2 linked regions of the Danio rerio genome follow. Each later gene encodes a partner of the first gene's protein in a complex. Links are inferred from orthologs where the notes say so. Each region holds a gene or a part of one and is shown on either strand. Other genes may lie near its edges.

Region 1 (3,837 bases):
AGCACCTATATAATGTGCTTAATAATTGTATTTTCATACTTAGTTAATGATTTATTTTTCAATACTAAATTAAGTATCCCATTATTTACAAACCATTTGTATTTAAGAGTAGTTGAGGATCTAGGATCATTCAGAATGAGTTAGTAAATGATTGATAAACTATTGAAATCAACATTTATATATCTCTATATAACTAAAACAATAAGTAATTTTCCCCCAGATAGTACCTGGTTTGAGGCCTGCAGTGAGTTTGATGTCTTTACCCACAGTGTCCTCTTCTGATTTGATGGTAACAGTCATACAGAACATCTCATTGGTAAGTGCTGGAGGCTCATGGGTCAGCTGTACAGAAATTTTGGGCACTCTAGAGATGATCCTACAGGGAATACAGAAAGGAAAACTTAGCTGTTTATTCCTTATTAATTTGAACTCGGCACATTTTGAATGAAACTTAAATGTCTAGTCACTAACCAATGACTTGACAACAACCATTTGAGAGTTAAAAATGTTTTAAGACCTATGATTTAAATCATTAATTTCTGAAGCGATATACTAGTTTTTCAGATTTTCTATTAACTTACATGGTACTAGACTGTACAGACACTGCGTCCCAGTCCACATGCTGCTCTGGGAGGCGTGTCCTCCTTTTAAATGAGCGGGAAGCTTGCAAACTCTCATGGGAAGAGGCCGCATCTCCCCAACCGCCCCGCCAATTCAGATAAACATAACGGCCCGTTTCTCGACCTAACATTAGTCCCACACTGGTGATCTGAAAGACAAAACCAGACAAACATCAAACAAACTAATCAGCTGTAAATCTGTGACAACACAAGATCTGAATTTACATGGACAGCTCACCCAAAATATTTACTCAGATTCAAGTGGTTCTAAACTTACTTAAGTTTCTTTTTTCTGTTGAACAAAAGACAAGATATACTGAGGAATGTTAGAAAAAAGCAGCCATTAGCCCAGGGATGGGCAAACTTGATCCTCGAGGGCCGGTGTCGCTGCAGAGTTTTGTTCCAACACTAGTCAAACACACCTGGACATGCTAATCAGTGTCTTTAAGATCACACGAAATCTATAAGCAGGTGTGTGTGATTAGGGTTGGAGCTAAACTGTGCAGGACACCGGTCCTCCAGGACCAAGTTTGCCCACCCCTGCATTAGACCCTTTCACACAGTGATACAAGTAAATATCAAGAAAATTTCCCAAACAACTTTACAGGTAAATACAAACGTGGGCTGATCACACTGGCATTGACGTTCCAGAATGTTTCTGAAAAGGATTATTCAAACGTCCATTTCAAAATACCGGTAAGTTCAAACATTATTAACCCAAAACGAGCTCTAAACAAACCCGAAGGGGGTCAGGCTTTTTGCTGATGGTTTCACTTTTGTTTAAGAGTGCTTTCACACCTATAGATCGATTGTTTTGTTCCGAAACAGGGATTAAAAAGGTTATAGCTACTTGGTTTTGATCTGAAGATATGCATTTTCTAATTTAATAACCAGTAACATTCTCTCACAGTCTTCTCTTCAGACTGAGAATAAAGATTTAATCATATTTAGTATACTATTAAGTGTATATATGACCTTTCCTGAATTGTGTTCATTCATTTATTCATTCATTTTCTGCCGCTTTTCCGGGGCCGGGTCGCGGGGGCAGCAGTCTTAGGAGAGAACCCCAGACTTCCCTCTCCCCAGACACTTTCTCCAGTTCCTCCGGGGGGATCCCGAGGCGTTGCCAGGCCATCCAAGAGACATAGTCCCTCCAGCATGTCCCCGAGGCCTCCTCCCGGTGGGACATGCCTGGAACACCTCCCTAGGTAGGCATCCAGGAGGCATCCGAAACAGATGCCAGAGCCACCTCAGCTGACTTCTCTCGATGTGGAGGAGCAGCGGCTCTACTCCGAGCTCCTCCCAGGTGTCAGAGCTACTCACCCTATCTATAAGGGTGTGCCCTGCCACCCTTCGAAGGAAACTCATTTCGGCCGCTTGTATCCGAGATCTTGTCCTTTCGGTCATGACCCAAAGCTCATGACCATAGGTGAGAGTTAAGGGTGTCACGATCCTCCAAATCCTCTATTCGATTACATTTTCGATTCTAAAGGCATGATTCGATTCGATTTTCGATTATGAATAATTAATTAATTAATGACCAATTAATTATTTGTAGCCTACCGTTTAAACTACCTGACCTGCATGGTCTTTGTTTTACCCATAAACAAATCATACAGTAAATGAATAAAGGCAAGATACACACATAATTACCACCTGTCAATCACTTTTTCTGCGGGACTCGTGAATAGGCAGTGATCTGTGTCATTATAATGGCGTCGGTAAAAAAGACGCACAACCAACAGGAACCAGCCAACAGTATCTGAGGTGTTGGCTAAAATGACAAAGTACAAGTGAGTGAAAGATTGAAGCAGTCCTCTGACTGCCTGGACCTGCTGTCTCAAGCTCATATGGCTGTGTGTGCGTCTGTGTCTGTGTGGTCACGTGATGTGCATTTTTTAGAGGTAGAGAGGAAGGAGGGCTGCTCAGAAACGCTACACACCACTGTGGATGTCAAATTGTGTCGTTCTAAAATGCCATTTTTAAACAGGGCCTGAGTGTGTACTTTTCGCGAGCGAATTTGCAACGGGGGCGGGCGGAGGATCGCGATGCCGGTGTTGTCTATCGGACGAACCGTACGTAATACGTACATAGCAGAGCTTGCAAAACTGTGTTTTTTTGTCGACAACACGAACGTTGTCAACATAACTCACTGGAAATCCAAAATGCTAACACACCGGCGACTTCATTGAAAGAGGAGAGGGTTTAAGCTCTGTCAACGGGTCTCCTGCTTCTGCAGTTTAACAAGCACTTCAACAAACCTGTTTTTTTCCCGCTTGGCGTGGCAGCATCGACGATTCTATTTTTTGATTCGATAATCGAAATTGAGCATAAATTTCGATTGATTTCGATTAAAAATCGAAATCGTGACACCCCTAGTGAGAGTAGGAACGTAGATTGACCGGTAAATCGGGAGATTTGCCTTTCCGCTCAGCTCATTCTGTTATTAATATTGTTTACATAATTTCTGATGGTTATTGTTATTATTGACTTTATTTAATTTTTACATTGTGTTTTGTAACTTTATCTGTATTGTATAAAAAAGTTAAATGACTGACAGTGAAAAATGTGTCCACCTTTTAAGCTGAAATATTGTATTGGTTATGCTGATACAGTAAATAAAAAAATAAATAAAATTGTTACAACGTTGCATTTTGTTATTGGTGTGGTTTGATTTCACATGACAAAGTTTCTAAACGGACCTAAAACAAGCTAAAACAAGTCATGTGTGAGTAAACTCTCCTCACATTAGTCAGAGTTTATTTTTGAGTCTCATATATTCCGCTCAGCTGTCATGTGTCAATATTTTAATTTATGATGATGAGCAATGAGACATTATAAGTGAAAAGGAGAACTTTAATTTTGAATGTTGACACTCACAGTCATCGAATATAAATCAGAGGTAAGATTTTCCCATAAACAGCCTCATTACAGTTGTCAAGGGTTGTGCTAATCTATTTATTGAACCAATTAATCTATTGCCTGTCATTTTTTGTAACATTTAATTAGTTATTTTAAAATAAGAAAAAGACATTCAATAACTTTGTTGCCATTATTAATTATGAGCTTTAAAAAAACATTGGCTAGAATTATGCATTATAGACAGGCCCACACGGAATCTGCACGCAGAAATCAGCAGATTTTCAGCCCATCGAGTTTATTTACTTATGTAAATTTACTTTTATTCAGCTTTTAATTAATTTCAGTAATATTATTG
Region 2 (3,837 bases), on another chromosome or scaffold:
GGCAGGTTAGGGTAATTAGACAAGGTATTGTATAACAATGGATTGTTCTGTAGACCAGTGGTTCCCAGCCTTTTTCTTTGGGAACCCCCATGAACCTATACAAACATTGGAAGGTTGGGAACTACTGCTGTAGACTATCAAAAAAAAAAAAAAAAACACAGCTTAAATGGGCTAATAATATTGTCCTTAAAATGGTTTTTAAAAAATTAAAAACTGCTTTCATTCTAGCCAAAATAAAACAAATGAGACTGTATTATATTATCAAAAATATTATCAGACATACTGTGAAAATTTTCTTGCTCTGTCAAACATAATTTGGGAAATAAAAAAATAAAAAGCAAAGAGGGGCTAAAAAATCTGACTTCAACTGTTTATAGAAGTGAATTATTAGTCCTCCACTAGTACTTTCATGTTGTTTTTGTCATTTATTTTTTACTGATATTGTATGGCTAAGAGCTGCAGGAATAAACACATTAAGATGATAATAATAAAGATTAATATATTATTATCATATATTATTTATATATATATATATATATATATATTATTTATATATATATATATATATATATATATATATATATATATATATATATATATATATATATATATATATATATATATATATATATATATATGTGTGTGTGTGTGTGTGTGTGTGTGTATAAAATAATCAAGAATTAATTCACTAACAGCTAATTCTCTTGTTTGTTTTGTTCGTCTCACATGAAGGACTATGTGTTGGCTGTGGAGACGTATCGCTCCATCATCGAGTTTGAGCCGGAGCAGAAAGTGCAGCTGCTGAGTGGAATCGGACGCATTTTCCTGCAGGTGAGAGCAGAGACGCCTGGGGCCTGTAGCATGAAGACAGATCAGCTGGATACGTTTTAGTTTAGTTTGCGCCAATTCTGAGTTTTAGGTACCATGAAGGCAGCTCAGCTTAGCTCTCACTGAACGACTGAACGCTTGTCTTTCCTCTGCAGAGTTGCTTATTTTTGAAGAGTATCAAAGAGTCTGTTTTGCTCTTCATGTTTTATCTTCACTCAGATGGTAATTAACTTTCTGTTTGCTGGGATTATTAGATCGGAGACATCAGAACTGCGGAGAAATATTTTCAGGATGTGGAAAACGCCTGTCAGTCAAAGGGAAAAACAGCCACTGAAGAAACCTCGGTTCTGATGAACAGGTAAACGCCGATGTCAGTCACTTACTTCTATATTTCATGTGTGCACAGTATAGTATTGTGTGCGTCGCAGATGAAAATGAGAACGGAGGTCGTGTCGTGGATGAAAGTTAGGACCGGGGGGATGCGTCACTGATGAAAGTGAGTACCGGGTAGGGTTGCCGCCCTCACTATTATGCCGCCTTATGGACACGCCGGCCCTGAAGATAGTATTGTGTGCGCACGACATATACATACACATTGTGTGTGCACAACATAGACATACATATCATGTGTGTATGGCATAGACATACATATGGTGTGTGCACAACATAGTATTGTGTGTGCACGACATATACATACATATCGTGTGTGCACAACATAGACATACATATCATGTGTGCATGGCATAGACATACATATCGTGTGCAAACGACATATACACACACACACATCATGTGTGCATAACATAGCAATATGTGCGCACGACATATACATACATATCGTGTGTGCACAACATAGTATTGTGTGTGCACGACATATACACACACACACACATCGTGTGTGCATAACATAGCAATATGTGCGCACGACATATACATACATATCGTGTGTGCACAACATAGACATACATATCATGTGTGCATGGCATAGACATACATATCGTGTGTGCACGACATATACACACACACACACACATCATGTGTGCATAACATAGCAATATGTGTGCACGACATATACATACATATCGTGTGTGCACGACATATACACACACACACACACATTGTGTGTGCATAACATAGCAATATGTGCGCACGACATATACATACATATCGTGTGTGCACAACATAGTATTGTGTGCGCACGACTTAGTATTACATGTAAGTCTTGATTTGCACATCAATTTAATGATTACAGTGGTGTAAACTTGAGTTTTGATATTATTGGGCTGTTTTTGACTGGACATTAGGCCAGTTTTTTTATAAACATCTGGCAACCTTAACCTGTGTATAGACCTGCTATCAGGGTTCATGTATGTTATGTTTGAAGCAGCACTGTGCACATTTCAAACCACTTTTAACCGTATTGTAATGACATCAACAGGGCTTTTGTTTACCTGAGTCAGAATAACTACGCAGACGCGCACACGTGTTTCTCCAGTGTCCTACGCCTCGATCCCAAGAACCCAGTGGTAAACGCTCAACCCTTTATTCTTGTACACACGATCATAAGCACCACCAGAGAAGCATTAGTACTAACAATATTTTTTTTTCAGGCAAACAACAACGCAGCCGTGTGTCTCCTGTACTTGGGAAGGCTAAAGGAGTCCCTGGGCCAGCTGGAGAGCCTGGTGCACAAGGACCCGGCACTGTACCTGCACGAAAGCGTACTCTTCAACCTCACCACCATGTACGAGCTGGAGTCGTCACGCAGCACACAGAAAAAACAGGCGCTACTGGAGGCCGCCGCATGCAGAGAAGGAGACAGCTTTAACATCCAGTGCCTCAAGCTAGTATGAGACGCACACCACCCACACACAATCCAACACACACTGCAAAAAACACTCGTCTCTTTCTAGTCCAAATATTCAAACATTCTGAAGTCAAGAAGCGTTTTTTTTAGACAACTATCAAATATTGTTTTGTTTTTATGAATATGAAGTCAAAATGAAGTGAGTTTTTGCTTAAAACATGTAAAATAATCTTGTTTTTGGTTTGAAATAACACCGTTTACCTCATTGGCAGATTATTTCACTTGATTTTTGAAGGTCAAACTCACTTAAAGGGATAGTTCAGCCCTACATTTTTTATTTACTCACCATCTACTCACTCTCAAGTGGTTTCTTTCTTCTGTTAAACACAAAAGGAGAAATTTTAAAGAAAGTTGAAATCCTGTAACCATTGACTTCCATTGTAGGAAAAACAAATACTATGGAAGTCAATGGTTACAGGTTTTTCTTTTCTTTCTTCAAAGTATCTTCTTTTGTGTTCAAAAGAAGAAAGAAACTCATGAGGGTAAGAGGTGAGTGAACCATGAAAGAATTTTCTTTTTTTGGGTGAACTATCCCTTTAATTTCGACGACTTATTTCTGAAAACAATTATTTTTATTCCTCTAGGAAATGCTTCTTGATTTGAGGATTTTTAAATATTTGGATTAGAAACAAGACGAAAACTCTAAGTAAAACAGATTGTTTTGCAGTGGACTGGATATTAAAGGGATAGTTCACCCAAAAATTAAGCTTTACTCACTATTTACCCTCCCTCAGTCTTTATGAGTTTCTTAAAGTCAAACGAAGATAGTTTGAAGAATGTAGAAACCTGTAACCATTGATTTATGTACTAATAAATACTATGGAAGTGATTGGTTACAGGTTTCCAACATTTTTCAAAATATGTTCTGTTAAACACAAAAGAAAACAGTTTGAAGAATGTATAAACATGTAACCATTGACTTCTTTAGTCAAAAAGAGAGCTATGGAAGTCAATGGTTACAGATTTCCAACATTTTTCAAGATATCTTGTTTTGTGTTAATCAAAATAATACTAAAGTGTTAGTAAATGATGACAGAATTTTCATTTTTGGGTAAAATACCCTTTAATTAATAATCAGGCGGCAGGTTTGAGAGAATATTCTGAGGCCAGAATTGAATATATTGTCCCGCATTTAAAGCTTT

Evidence for each region.
Region 2: trappc11 (region 1) and trappc12 share a complex: the UniProt entries of both Homo sapiens proteins name them as parts of the multisubunit TRAPP (transport protein particle) complex. The link is inferred for Danio rerio from reciprocal best matches to the Homo sapiens genes TRAPPC11 and TRAPPC12.

The regions. Positions count from the first base shown.
Region 1 is NC_133189.1:7,877,135-7,880,971, forward strand, and holds part of trappc11 (trafficking protein particle complex subunit 11), read right to left. Parts: intron 770-3,837; coding exon 582-769; intron 377-581; coding exon 228-376; intron 1-227. UniProt on the Homo sapiens protein: Involved in endoplasmic reticulum to Golgi apparatus trafficking at a very early stage.
Region 2 is NC_133192.1:57,317,590-57,321,426, reverse strand, and holds part of trappc12 (trafficking protein particle complex subunit 12), read left to right. Parts: intron 1-732; coding exon 733-831; intron 832-1,082; coding exon 1,083-1,186; intron 1,187-2,052; exon of another isoform or gene 2,053-2,266; coding exon 2,267-2,354; exon of another isoform or gene 2,355-2,438; coding exon 2,439-2,681; 3' UTR 2,682-3,837. UniProt on the Homo sapiens protein: Component of the TRAPP complex, which is involved in endoplasmic reticulum to Golgi apparatus trafficking at a very early stage.